2 linked regions of the Drosophila melanogaster genome follow. The protein of the gene in region 2 interacts with the protein of the main gene of each other region in a pairwise test. Each region holds a gene or a part of one and is shown on either strand. Other genes may lie near its edges.

Region 1 (6,635 bases), on a different chromosome or scaffold from region 2:
ATTATTATTATTCGTATCGATATTGTATTGAGTCATTCTCTCTCTCTCCCATACTTCTACATATTTTTTTGTCGATTCGTAAGTCTCCCATACCAGTTACTACATATATTTATTAACGCCCATATGCAAGAGTCCATATGTATGTTTAGATGTCTATGATGTGCTGGTTTCCATATTCCAATTTTCGATACCCAATCCAATCGTACTACCCCCAACTCGGTGGCGCTAAGATGGCCATATAGATCCCCATTCAAACCCGAGCTCGTAGTCCCCCATTTGTCTTAAGTTTAAGCGAACCAAGTGCAATCCGAGTGCAGGAATTGAACTCCCACAGGCTCTGAGTCCAATCCTCTGGTCCCCTATTCATATTTCGATTCAACGATTTCTTGTAGCACTTAAGATTAGCAAACTTTAATAATATCATTTTTTTTTTTTGACATTTGTTAAATCGAAAATTGCTTAGCTTAATCCCTAAAATTATCATAAATAAATACAATTTATATATGTATATCTATCGCAATGGATGGAGTTTTTTAATTGGATGTTTCATTCATTAGTTAATAATAAATATTCAGAAAAAAAAAAAAATTGCTTTGAGATGCTGCATATGTGGGCCCTTAACTGAACAATGTGTATATATATATAAGAGGGATTACTTGTCATTTGTCAGGTTCTTAACTATATAATATTTGGTATGAGTTGATCGCTGTCATCCTCCTCGTCGTCCTCGTCCTCATCCTCCTCCTCATCGTACTCGCCATCCTCATCCTCCTCATCATCGTCGTCATCTTCGTCCTCCTCCTCGTCTGCCACATTTGGCTTATCCTTGTGGCTGGTCACGGATGTTGCGGCTGTTGTAGCCGTTGGTGCTGTTGTTGCTGTTACTGTTACTGTTCCAGCTGGCGCCAAATTTGCTATTGTTTGCTCCTGGCTAGCGACGATGGGCAGCGGGGGGCGTGGCTGAGGTCCTGTCGCTACCGACACGCTTGTTGCATTACCCTTTACGGTTTTTTCGCCAGATGTGAGGGGAATCGGGGTGGCACGCCTCGTTGTAACGGCGCTTAACGCTTCATTAGTCGCATTGTCGCTGCCAGTTTCAGTTGCCACCACCAATGTCGTCCTTGTGGCGTTGCTGTTGCCGGGTAGTGAATTCATGGGTCCTGCTCCAGCTCCAGTTCCTGCGGTTGCCACGTTGGCTACCGTGTCATTTTTCCGCCGCTCCGGCTCGTTACCCGCTGGCAACTTTTCTCCAACCAGCCCGCCTCCTGGCTCGCTGTCATCGGGCACACCTGCACCGATGTCCTGCTGCCCGTTCTGGTCCAGTTCGCCATCTAGTTCCAGTACGAGCTCAGCGGGTGTGGGCGGTGTGATTCGCGGTGGCGCCTCTGAGGTCAGCAGAAAGTCATCGCGTATCTCGCAGTTCTTGCCCAGAAATCCCTGCCGGCACTGGCACTGGTAGCTCCCATCCTCGCGACTCAGCGATGTGCACTTGCCCCCGTTTTCGCACGTATCCGGATGCTCCACGCAGTAGGTGAGCTCTGTGGGTCAACTCGGTCAATTTCCCGTTGGCATGGTCACATATACGGATATACTCACTCTCGTCGCACAGCATTCCGCCCCAGCCGGGATGGCAGTTGCACTCCCATGGCGCCTCGCAATCCCCATTGGCACATCCCGGATACGGGAAGCACTTGTCGCACTGGCTACCCGTCCAGCCCACCTTGCAGCTGGAGAAGAAGGGGATGTCCGTGAAAATTGATGACAGATATGGGTTCGTTTTGCTGTTAGTTTGCTGTTAGCTAACTGAGCCATAATGCTTGGGAATGTTAAATTAAGGATAAAAATAGTTGACTTATCCGAAAAGGGGCACTCCAGCTTGCCGAAACCACATTTTCTGCATTTTCTTTATTGAAATGCTGCTCCTACTTACCGGCACTCGCCAGGTTTGCGGCAATATCCGTGCTGCTTGCTGCAATCTGGGTCACAGATTGCTGGAATGGCGGAATGGAGTTTGGGATTAGTAGGGTGAATGGCGGATTCCTTTGGTGGTTGCAGGACTTACGCGTCTGGCAAAGTAGTCCGGTATATCCGGGTAGGCAGAGGCATTCCAGTGGCTTGTTGCAGGTGCCGTGCTGACAGCCCGGCATCGTGGCGCATTCGGAGCAGGTGCGTCCAGCATAACCAATCCGGCAGCGGCACTCCCCAGGCGCTTCGCAATATCCACGGGTGCTGTGGCATCCGGTACGGCAACTTGCTTTGGTTGCGCGCGGATTGGAGGAAACAGGCAATTGAGTAATCGGATTGGACAGAGTTAGGAATGTTTGATTTGATTGGAAATGTCATATAACAAGTACAACCCCCAAAACGATATTAGTTCCCTATGTTTTAACTCCTTCTCTAAATGCTCCGTTCTTTAAATGTAAGATTGTAATCAGGCTTATCCTTTTCCGGTAACTACTTACGTTCCGTGCAGAAGAGTCCCGCCCAGCCAGGCTTACAGATGCACTCGAATGGCTTGGTGCATCCGCCATGTTGGCAACCTGGAAGCGGAATGCACTTGTCGCAGAGTTCGCCGCTGTATCCGATGCGACACCTGCATTCACCGGGTCGCTGGCAATAACCTGTGTGAATGTGAGTTCAGGGGTCACAAGATAGGGAATCATCTGAAGGAGTAAACATACCATTCATCGGGTCACAGCCCCTTCGACACATAGGCACCTGGCAAAGATCACCCTGCCACCCAGGAAGGCACTTGAAGTCACCTTTTTCATCGCAAACATAGTGTGCATTTTGCCGCTGTTTCTGTGATTTCTCACAGGCCTTAGGTAATCGAATATTTTCGGAATTGGTTCGAGAAAATTATGAACGTTAGGTTCTCCAACTTACTCGCTGTTTCCAGAGTGGAATATTCGAATTACTACTTTGCCGCGCATCGAAGTTGCGTCTATAGGCATTCATTTCCTCCAATTTGAGGGCGGTAATCGCGGTCACCAGCAGGAGAGCCGCCTTTTTGTCTGACAACATATCTAAGTCCGATTTAATAATAATATAATAAGTGTTTGTTGTTTCTATTAATAAATATAATATTATTAATATTATACGTTTGACTACTCCGTTAAAATTCCCTGCAAATAATGGCTTTTATGTGTACATAAAAAGCAAGATCATCTAAGTCGGATCTAACGACCTCTTCACAAAAAAAGTTTCTTAGACTTTAAACCAACTTAATGTGCTGAACTTTATGACTGAATAAAGAAAACCTAAGTGTAGGCCTTGTCAAATGTCTAGATGTTTTCGATTATCGGCTTAAACGAAAAGTGTTTTCGTTTGGCCAAACTTAGACCGTTAAAAGAAATCGACGGCCCACGGCCCCTCGTCGCAATTAACATGTTTGAAGACAACTTTCTTCGCGGCCGAACCAAAAAGAACGGGAATCACACCGCCGACAGAGAACCCGACAACCAAACAACCGATTTCTTGATGAATCACCACTGGCGAGAAGAAATGAAACTTGAAGAATGCAAATGCAAAAGAATTACTTTTAACGGTTAAGACTGCAGCTTCTTGTCGTCGGTCCGTCTCGGTCTGCGATCGCTTTGGGACTAATCAAGTAGCCGCCTCGTCGGACCAGCTGCCTCTGGCCGATTCTCGACTCTTTCTTTAAGTCAAGTCAAGTCAAGTCTTCGCTCTTCTCTCTGTCATTCTTCTGGCCTTCACCGTGAACTCAAGCCTCGAAGCCGAGAGGCAAAGCCAGAGAAAGAGCGCTGAAAGGCACCTAACCGACCATTGGTGGTAATTGGGTCAACCGGTAAACCCAAAACAGCTGAGTACTCAAGCACAGTGGGTCCAGATATGGTTTTTATGGACCACTCTACACTTTGAAAAAGAAGAAAACTAGGAAAACTTGTACCACAAAATCAGGAAATAAATAAAATCTGAAACAATTTTAAATTAATAATGTAATTATACTATAAAGATCTATATGCCTACATATCCAATCTATTAAATGCTTTAATAGCATTAACTATTAAATGTTTCTTTTTATATGCCCAAAAACTATTTATTTTATTTTATTTTACAATTACTTTCGACCCACTGTGCAGCACTGACGATCGAGTCACCAAACAAGTTGTAGATAAACCAGGATGGCTCAAGACTCTAGATTGGTAAATGTTCAAAGACAACATTGGTTTACTTTAAAATTATACTCGTTCTTTATTGAATGATCTCATTATTGGTTTAATTATAATTATAATAATTATTTCGACATTCGTGTGTACCTAAAATCCAGATTAATACTAAGATCCAAACGTTAATTCCGACTCCAGAGGGTTGTCTGCCAGTTGGGTAACCAAAAATTGTGGGCCTTAATCATTTGCTTTTGACAAATGTATCATATATGTTATGTTATGTGTAGAACGTGTGTGTGCTATATGCTTGCGAGTCGGGGGGAACTAACGATTAGACAGATACACTCGTGCACATCCACATACATGTATATATAGGTTCTTTCACTACGCAGCTCGACTCCATTTTCACTGTAGATGTTATGCGGTATTTGATGACTTAGTCTCTAGTTTCTAGTATTATCCGATCCGAGATCCGAGCGTCTTCACAGACCCCCAGCATTTATATTGAGTTGTTGATTGGGTCCTGAGCCCAAATGCTTACACGCGAGTGTTTCCTTAACTAATTAGAGAAATGCTAACCGAAGGAAGTCCACAGCAGCCGTGATATCAATATGGTTATATGATGAATATCATGTGTGTGGAGGAGATCATAAGTCTTTGGAAGTTTTTTTTTAAATTTATAAAGTATCTAAGAGAGCAGAAGTTAGTAGTCCGAAATTGTAGAACCCCTCGAAAACTTCAGAAATATGTGATATTCCTCCATATATACCCTATATTTCACTGGCAGTGTATCCTTTATTTCCGGTTCTCTTCTCTAGCGAGACAAACAAAAAAAAAAATCCTGACCTCATCACACATACATATACATACATATGCTATGATCTTCTTAATCCACTGGCTTAATGTTTAAACGCTTACATACGATGGGGTACTTTATTGATTTTGGGCCGGAAGTGAGGGGGCGTGGCAGGGGCGCGGGTGATATGATATGATATGATGAGTGGGGGAGACCGTACACCATAACCTACACGGAGAAAAAAAAAAATGGACACCGCAACTTGAGTGGGCGGCATGACCACGTCGCCTTAGACGAAGATGAACTGGGCGTGGCCGCACTTCTTGGGCGGACCGACGGTCAGACGGAGCCATTTGCCGCGGCACGACGGCGCCGGCAGCGCGCTCCAACGTGTCGTGCGTCCGGCCAGCCCCTCCCCCCGGCAATGGTAGGTGGGCGGCAGCGTGGGCGAGGGCGTGGCCGGCACAGCGCTGCGCTTTCCCGCTGTCCGGCGGCTGTGCGACATTTGCGACATCTGCGACTGCCGCTGGTGACGGTAGTCGGTACTCTCGTTGCTGTCCGAGTCCAGGGCATTCTGCAGGTCATCCTGCTCATCCTGCTCCGGCTCCTCATCCTCCTCCTCCGCCTCGCCATCCTGATTGGTCGCCTCCTCTTCGCTGCTGGTCTCACGCTGCAGTCGCTCCTCCTCAAGGTCATCCGTACGCTGGCCAAAGGCAGAGGCTGCGGATGAAACTGTGGTCGTGGACGGCGTAGTGGGTCCTTGTGGTGTCCTGGCGGTGGTGGAGCTGCCGGCTGAGTCTTGGATCAATGCCTCAAGGTCACAGCGCACCGTGATGCGATCGCCTGGAAAATAAAACACAAGACAGTCAAAATATTATTTTACACATTTGATTGCATAAATATTAAATACTACTTTAGTTACTTTGATTTTTCTTACCTTCTGTCATCAGGTTATATGGCGGCAACTTGTTGCAGGCTTTAGATGATTTTATTACCTCGAATTCCACGCAGTATCTATAAAGAAAGTTTAAGAATAGCGCAAATTATTAATAATTATACAAAGAAGAGATGCGAATATCTTAATAATTTGCAAAACATTCAAATAGATTTAAAGATGAAATCGGTTTCACTGGCTAAATAATGCTTAATTAATTAATCCATCCTCATAATCTGCATCCTACGCCTTCGAAACGCTCGCTTATTTGGGTATTCACTCATTCAGTCGCTCATTGAGCGATTCATTCGTCCGTTTGGTCCTTCATTGATTATGCATGTCCTTCGGTGACGCCTCATTAGAGGAGCAAAGGATCTGGCTGGCCATTGAGATGTTAAATATTACAATTATTGTAATTCAGATTCAGATTCCATCAACGGACGCAAAGTAGACAGAAACAGCAGCAGGAGCACTGATTTGTGCAATTGTGCGGACTGAAGCGGGCTGCTGAATACAGGACTTCAAAGGAAGAGGAAATGCGAATTGTCTATTAAGCCTAACAATTTCCGTTTCCGTTAGGCAAAAAAGAGCAAAAACAAACATGGCAGGCGAAAAATCGAACTGACAAGTGCCTTTGAGTGTGTGGTGTGCGGGTGTGCGTGTGTAAGTGTGCAAGAGTGTCGAGAGTGTCTGTGTGTGCGTCTGACAGCTGTCAAGGTGTTGACAACGGAAATTGCGTAGGAAATTTCAAAAGTGCCCGACATTTTGGGGCATT
Region 2 (8,238 bases):
GGCCCGGAATCCTTTACACCCGACCACAAACCCTTGATGGGTCCGGATCCCAACCTAGATGGGCTCTACCACAATTGTGGCTTCAATTCAGCGGGCATGATGTTTGGTGGTGGTTGCGGAGAGCAGACCGCCTTGTGGGTCATCCAAGGTCAACCGGACCTGCCCATGTTTGGCTTCGATCTGCGCAGATTCACCCAGGAGCAGGGCAAAGCCATTCAGTGGATTAGGGAGAAGTCGCACGAGAGCTACGTGAAGAACTACAGCATGGTCTTCAAGTATGATCAACCACTGGCGGGTCGTGATTTCCAAAAGGATCCACTTCACGACGAGATGATGAAGGCAGGCGCCGTAATGGAGGAGAAGCAGGGTTGGGAACGGCCTGGTTTCTTCCTGCCCACCGGTTCCAAGAAGGCGGTGGTTCAGCCCTATGACTGGTACGGAAGCTATGTCCACCAGAGGCACAAGGACAGCGAGTACGAGAGAGTTCTGGATGGGGATCTTCACTACAGCCGCTTCTCGGAGTACCACGATCTCGTAGGTAGCTAAGTAGCTTATGGAAAGCCAAAATAATGATATATATCTTTCAGATCGGTTCGGAGGCCCTGGCATGTCGCAATAACGCCGTGGTCTTTAACATGAGCTACTTCGCCAAGCTGCTTCTAGATGGTCCACAGGCCCAGGAGGCCGCTGACTGGCTATTCTCCGCCAATACCAACAGGGATCCCAGCAAGTAAGATCCATGTATAGATATACAAATTTAGAAACCTTTCTAAACAATTACCACTTCCATTTTAGAACTGTCTACACCTGTGCTCTAAACGATGCCGGCGGAGTGGAGGCGGATGTGACCATTTCCCGCCTTGCTCCCGGTTCTGGAGAGGTCTACAATCCCAAGATCAATGGCCAGGGCTTTTATATTGTGGCTGGCGGCGCTTCTGCCTTCTACACTTACAGTGTTTTGCTGGCAGAGATCCGTCGAAAAGGATTCAATGCGAGCCTCAAGGATCTGACTGCCGAATTGGGTGTGATTTCTATTCAAGGACCAAACAGCCGAAAGATCCTGCAGCCCCTCATCGACTGTGATCTGTCCGATGAGCACGTAGCTCCCAACAGCACTCGATTAGCCAAATTCGGTGATGTGGGTCTCCGTTTGCTGCGGGTCAGCTTTGTGGGAGAACTGGGCTACGAGCTTCATGTGCCCAAGAAGGATTGTGCTGCCGTCTATCGGAGTCTGATGAAAGCGGGAGCTGGAGAGGATTTGCGCAATGCTGGCTACCGTTCCCTTTACTCCCTCAGCAGCGAAAAAGGCTATCATCTATGGAGCTTCGATCTGCGACCGGATGACACGCCCCTGGAAGCTGGCTTGGGATTCACATGTCGCAAAACGGGTGCAGATTACCGTGGCAAGGCGGCCATCGAAAATCAGCGAGCTGAGGGCCTAAAGAAGCGACTGGTCTACTTGACGCTCCGGGATCAGGTGCCCATCTGGGGTTTGGAGGGAGTCTACCGAAATGGCGAGCCCGTGGGCATACTTAGACGAGCTGAATATGCCTATACCCTTGGAAAGTCCCTCGGTCAGACATACGTGTCCCGACCAGATGGCAAGATCATCGATGCTGATTACATTCGGAACGGGGAGTACGAGGTGGACATCTTGGGCAAGAAATACCGCGCCGACTGTCACTTGCGCAGCCCATTCGATCCTACCGGCCAACGGGTTCTCGGTAACTATGCATCCGAGTCCAAGTCCAATAAATAAAGATTAGTCTCTTCCACTTCCAAGAACTCGTTTACCCGGCATAGGGAATTTCTCTCAACCTTTCTCTTTCTGGCAGGGCACGACGGTATTGTTGAAGTGCCTGCCTTAACATACATGTAGGGTCATAAATTACTTTCCCCATGAATATGAAAAGGTTCGAAGAAAGGTCACGGTGTAGGCAGACAGGCAGTCTGCGAAGTGGTCACCCGAAATGGTTGCGGTTACGGCTCAATTAATTTCTGTGTCCAACTATTATGACATCATTCTCGGTTTCCGCGAAGGATATGCCTTTCCAGACGTAATTCTAGAGCACTTGGACACCTCGGCCAGACAGAGGGTCGCCACTCAAGTGGATTTCTTTGCTTAAATGAAATTTCATATAATTGTGATATTGATGCAATACTTTCAGCTTATAATAAACTAGGTTCTTCAGGCCTCGATGGTTACGGTGGAGGCCGTATTGGAGGGACTATCGAAGTGGCCAGCTACCACCTCCTCCAGCGATAAATCGAACTTGAAGATGGGACGGAGATCGTTGTTGAGTCGGCAGACGACTCCGGCGGAGGCGATGTTCCAGTTCCAGCAGATCATGGCGCAGTTCAGTGCCTCCAAATCGCCCTTCATCGAGACAATATTCTATATATGGGGATGCAAACATTATTATCAATCAGATTGTGTGCTTTTAGCGGCCCACTTACCATAGCCACTGTATAGTCAATGGAGTTGATCTCCTCGCCCTTGATAACCACCAACTGGGTCTCGCCATTCTGGTTGTTCAGGAAGCGCACCACCTTCTCCTTGAGATACTCAGCCGATGCATAGTCCAGCTTTTGCTTCACATCCACCACGCTAACTTCGTGACCATTGATCTGGTAGATGATATATGATTTGTTAGTGTAAATTGCATCTAGATAAGATAGGATAAGCTCACCTTCTCCAGTTTGATGTCTACATGTGGACGTGCACTGCTATATAGAATGTATACCATGTTGGCACCGATGCCACACAGTATTCCGTACTCCAGACTCCAGAACATGCAGGTGAGTACAGTGACCACAAAGGGAAACAGATCCTTCTCTGGAAAGTTAAGACAGAGCGTTAGTAGTAATACCTACAAAACTTTATCAGCATAAACTCACTCTTAGATTTCCACATGTCCTTAATCTTGTGCAGCTCCACTAGCGATATCATCGCCGCTATAATAATTGCAGCCAGCGTGCATTTGGGTATAAAGTAGAAAGTTTGGGTAAGGAATGCCAGTGCCATGAGCACCAGGGCACCGGTGACAGCTCCACCCAGTGGTGTCTTCACCCCACTGGCATTATTCACAGCCGTGCGGGTAAAGGATCCCGTTACGGGCATGGAGAGCACAAAGCTGCCCATGATGTTGCACATTCCCAGTGCCACCATCTCCTGCGATGCGTCTACAATTTTTCCCTTAGCTGAAAATTTAGAATTCCTTAGTATAAATGGCTTTAGAACTAATTCAAATTATACTTACAAAATGCCTTCGATATGGCTACTATTTCCAGGATCGAAATCAAGGGGATGGAACCCAAGGATGCGCCGACAGTGCTGATCATCTCGCCAAAGGAAACGTACTCTCCATCTACGGTGGTGCTAAAGGGCGGCAGCCGGAAGGGCGGTACTCCGGCCGTAATGTTTCCAGTGACACGGAAGGGTTGATTCCCATCTCGACTGAGGATGTAGGCCAAAAAGGTGCCAAAGATCACAGCCAGGGCGTTGCGGGAGAGACCAAGGTACTTCCAGAATATACGATTGCCCCATTTGATGTCTTTAACACGCTGAAAGTATATTACATTTGTAAATTAGTGAATAATATATATAATATATAATGCAACCATCAAGTTAACTTAAGTTAATAAAGCAACTAATTCTGAAGAGCCAAATTTATGCTGTATCTTAAGGTTTTTAACCCGAAATCAAAATCAAGCGGCTGCAAGAATTTTGTTGATTGGCTTAAATTGATATTGAAATTTAATAAAATTTCGTTTTTATTTTCTTCTCACCGTCATGAGCAACAGGAACACCAGAGATGAGACACCCAGCAGGGCATCCCAGAGCCTAATTGACGTCAAGTGGGTGAAGAAATTCTTCCAGGCGGGCAGTAAATCATTCGAAGGACCTATTTTCAATGCATTTCAATGTTTCAGGTAGTTTGAAATTTCTAGAAAATAAAAAAATAATTTCGCAACTCACTGGTCAGACCCACGATGTTGTTGATCTGGGCACTGCCAATTGTGGTGGCCGCCGCCATGGTGAAGCCAGTGATTACGGGAATCGAAATGAACCTGACCAGTACACCCATGTTGAGCAATCCAAGTAGAAGTACAATGCAACCAGCTAGGAAACACACCAGAACCGCATAATCCGGACTGATAGTGGCATACTGGTTGACCATTAGAGCCATGATGGCGGTTGTGGCTAGTGGATGTTGTGAAATTAGCACTGATAGCAGAAATTTACCCCACATCTGAACTCACCAATTGTGACATCTTTGCAGGAACCAAACACGATGTATGTGAAGCAACCCATGAAGGCGGAGTATAAACCATACTGCGGCTCCAAGCCGGCCACCACTCCATAGGCAATCGCCTGGGGAATAGTCGTTAATCCCACCGTGAATCCCGCAATAAAGTCCTGCATGATGTACTCCAATCGGTAACGAGGTAGCCACTTCAGGATCGGGAACTTGTTGGTCACGGTGGACGGACGGCACAGCTTACGACCGCCATCCCTAATAAGCGTGCTCACATTGGGCAGTTGCTCCCGGTACAGATTATCTGCGAATTCAAAACAAGCCTTGGATAAGGAGTATTTAAGTGTGCCAAGATAACCCCTCCCCGTGCGGGGCTAATCTTGCCTGGCAGCAACTTGTTCGCACATCTGTCGATCAGTGTTTTATATTGACTTTGGGCTGGTCATCTTATCGCCAGACAACCTGGGCTACCCCACGCAGATAAGGTGCATTCAGATACTCTTTTATGAATTGGCACGTATTTTATACGATTACAGCCCCCACAATCGCTGGAAACGCATCAAATCAATTGACCCTGATCGCCGCGATCGCTGCTTCCGGAAAAACCCCTGGAGCAGTTACTCACCCTCATCGGCTCTCATCGCGGGTGGCTCTCCAGCTTTAAACCGGGCTGTAGTTCCGAGAACGATAGGGAAACCGGCTGCGATGCAAAGGCAATGGCTGTAATCAAAACCGGGGAGCTAACGCGTCCGCTCAGTGTGCTGCTCCAAACGCGACTGCCGCTCCGATCGCCGTCGTCCAACGGCTTTAGAGACCGAAAGCAATCGCGTTCGCACATTCTGGCCATATAAGATTTACAAGCGCAGGTACCGGTGCCGCCATATCATGTTCGCTCTGTTAGTCCGTTGATAAACAATTACAAAGACAACCTTAATATTTGGCTAATGACATGGCCGGCTTATTTATATAAAGAAAATAATTACAAGCTAATGAGTGGAGGAATTTTGTTGATTGTTGGAACTACTTCTCGCTGCTCTTCCAGATTTTAATGGCATATGAATTTTGTAGGGCGCCGCTAGCAATCACATTTGCCGTGGGATGGCAATGTGTGCTCAAAATCTGGTCGCCCTCCGTGCTTATCTTTTGCACCAGCTCCCTCGTCTGCAGATTCCAGATGCAAAGCGTATTATCCTCGCTGCCGGAGACAATCCAAATGCCGCCGGTGGTGGAAAAATTGGAGTTGGAGCAATAGAACTCATTCAAATGCCCGCGATAGGTCCTCATGCACTTGGGCTTCTTGTAGTTCCATAGCCTAAGGGTGTTGTTCAATGTGGACGACAGGATGTAGCGTCCGTTCGGTGAGAACTTCACATATCCGACCGGGATGTTGTCAACGTCAACGAGAGTCTTCAGCACATGCCCGGTGCTAGAGTCCCACAAGCGGACCAGCCCATCATAGCTGCTGGTGACAAAAATATTGCCATCGCGGTGGAAGTCCACCGATGTTATGGGATCCTGGTGGGCGTGGACGATTTTGAGCGTTTTGCCAGTGCGGACATCCCAAAGGCGCACTGTTTCGTCAAAGCTAGTGGAGGCCAGCAGATTGGCCTGCGGATTAAAGCAGCAGGAGAAACTGTACCTGGAATGCCCCTCCAAAACTTTGACGCAGAGCTTGCTGCGGGCATCCCAGAGACGCACGGTCATGTCATCGCTACAACTGGCAATTAATCCAGCCGCCGACCAGGCGACATCGTTGACTCCGTCTCCGTGCCCGGCCAGCGATTGAATGCATCGGGTTGCGCTCAAGTCCCAGAGCTTAAGCAGCCTATCGCCGGAGCTGCTGACCAAGTTCTCGCCATTCGAACTAAACTTTAGACCAGTAACGCAACCACTGTGACCGAGGAGCGAGTGCTTAATGGCGTAGCCCGGAGACATGGAGTTCTCCAAATGGAACTGACTTGGTAGCATAGGCATCTTAAAGGAATCGAAAGCGGCCTCCGGGATGGCGATTTCAGTTTCGGAATCTCCAGGAGTCGAAGCTGTTTCAATCAATTCCATAATTTTATTTTTTTCGCCCAATTTTAATTTCTTACGAATCCTGCGAAAAGTTCGAAAACTTGGCGATGATGGTGACAGTTCCTGAGTTGACAAAAGCTTGCTGATATTTTGTAAAAAGGGTTTTCATTTCATCATTTACCCGATTATTTTTGGCGCCCAGTTTTAAGTTTTTATTATTTTTTTAAATTAATTACCTACAAATGTTGAGTCTGTTTTTAATTATCGCGAGAAAAAGTACACACGTACTGATAATTCATTAAACACTTTTTTACAATATTTGTCTAGTACATACAATTGTTAATTGTTTCTACAACTACTTATAACTCATTTAGTCAATATTTGTTTGAATTCCCAGACAGGGGGCGTAAAAAATCAGACTGGAAAAAGTAAACAAGCCCAATTAATTTGCGTTTTAAGGGAGTACTTATTTGGCGACAGGGTGCTCTATTTGCGCAGCCTGTTATTGTTATGCTGTCCAGACTTGTTAACCAAACATTAAACAAATGGCCGGTGCTGTGCCGTGCCGGCAATTTGTCACCTAATTATTTGTCGACGCTGCTAATCTTACATATGGGCAAAATTGGAGAATGCGCGATAATCAAGTCAGTGAACTTAATATTTGCATGGTAATTTAACAGACTTAAAGTGAATTTTTAACTTAAATTTTAGTAACATTTGGATTTTAACTGCACATATATGCCTTTATTATTTTATAAAGTTTGAATCAATGAATTTTTATACTAAAAATGTGTGCTAGTACTAGAATGAATTGAAATTATTTATAATAACTGGAACGTGTTGCTATCGATTTTTTTTTGTCAAAATTTATCTTTTTTATTAAAAATTGAATTTCTACATTAAATGTTATTGATGGTATTTTGTAACGGCTAATTCAAATGATCAACGGTCACACTAGCCAGTGGAGCTGCCAGCTATCATTTGAAATTCAAGTAAAGTTGGCAGCCCCCTGGCGTCTGAAAAATAGCGCGAAGTGAAGTAAACTAAAAAGTATCCCTTCAACCCACATAAACAGCGCAAAATGGACAGCAAGGAGGTTTCGGAGGTGCCAAGGCGGGAGGTGCGCTCCTTCCTGATGGCCCGGGATCCCTCCATCGACCGCCGCTTTCGACCGCGACCCAACAAAAAGATGCGTCTGTTTGACAACATTCAGGAGTCGGAGGAAGAAAGTTTTTCCGAATACTCGGACACGGAATCGGAGTACAAGTACCAGTCGAGCGAGGCAACCGAAGGGGCCTCATGCGCTACCAGTGCGGCAGACAGCAGCAACGTGGAAACGGGGCCACAGGTCTTCCTGCGCTTGCGTCCCGTTAAGGATGCATCCAAAGCCTACATAGTCTCGGAAGAAGCAAATGTGCTGATCACTAGCTGCAAAGTGGACTCGACCAGCAACAATGTGAACCGCATGGAAAAACACTTTGGATTCACTTCCATCTTTGACAGCACCGTTGGCCAGCGAGACATCTATGATACCTGTGTGGGTCCCAAAATTATGGAGGAGGAATGTGTGACCATTATGACATATGGCACATCGGGGTCTGGAAAAACGTATACCTTACTGGGTAAGCGAAGAGGACTTGCAACAAGTTTGCTGGGCAATTGTTAATTTAAATCCATTTTTAGGCGATGATGTGCGTGCTGGAATCATTCCGCGTGCCCTGGAAAACATATTCACCATTTACCAGGACACCGTCTTCCGATCGCCCAAGCTGAAGCTAATCAATGGCAGCATCGTGTTCTTGCAGGACGACGCCTCGCTGAAAGAGCTGCAGATTCGGAAAAAACTTTTAGACTTATGTCCGGATATCAGTGCCCACCATCAGCGTCTGAAGCAGGTCATTGATGGCGACCACATGTTCGAAACGAAGGCTTCCACCGATGTTTCCGTCTTGGTTTGGGTGTC

The links. The genes of interacting proteins can lie anywhere in the genome.
Region 1: the proteins of CG5002 (region 2) and C901 interact in a two-hybrid assay, tested with the Drosophila melanogaster proteins (one large-scale study listed by BioGRID).

Annotation. Positions count from the first base shown.
Region 1 is NC_004354.4:10,963,529-10,970,163, forward strand, and holds C901 (C901), read right to left. Parts: upstream 3,607-6,635; 5' UTR 3,540-3,606; intron 3,027-3,539; 5' UTR 3,025-3,026; coding exon 2,887-3,024; intron 2,821-2,886; coding exon 2,682-2,820; intron 2,622-2,681; coding exon 2,463-2,621; intron 2,255-2,462; coding exon 2,063-2,254; intron 1,992-2,062; coding exon 1,931-1,991; intron 1,728-1,930; coding exon 1,597-1,727; intron 1,539-1,596; coding exon 679-1,538; 3' UTR 504-678; downstream 1-503. Other genes in the region: vex (vexed), read right to left, coding at 5,216-5,769, 5,864-5,940.
Region 2 is NT_033778.4:17,747,097-17,755,334, reverse strand, and holds CG5002 (uncharacterized protein), read right to left. Parts: upstream 5,043-8,238; 5' UTR 4,901-5,042; coding exon 4,885-4,900; intron 4,564-4,884; coding exon 4,264-4,563; intron 4,205-4,263; coding exon 3,980-4,204; intron 3,906-3,979; coding exon 3,790-3,905; intron 3,565-3,789; coding exon 3,261-3,564; intron 3,202-3,260; coding exon 2,899-3,201; intron 2,837-2,898; coding exon 2,691-2,836; intron 2,629-2,690; coding exon 2,458-2,628; intron 2,396-2,457; coding exon 2,189-2,395; 3' UTR 2,121-2,188; downstream 1-2,120. Other genes in the region: Sardh (sarcosine dehydrogenase), read left to right, coding at 1-534, 588-730, 796-1,759; CG10931 (uncharacterized protein), read right to left, coding at 5,280-6,317; sub (subito), read left to right, coding at 7,357-7,897, 7,959-8,238.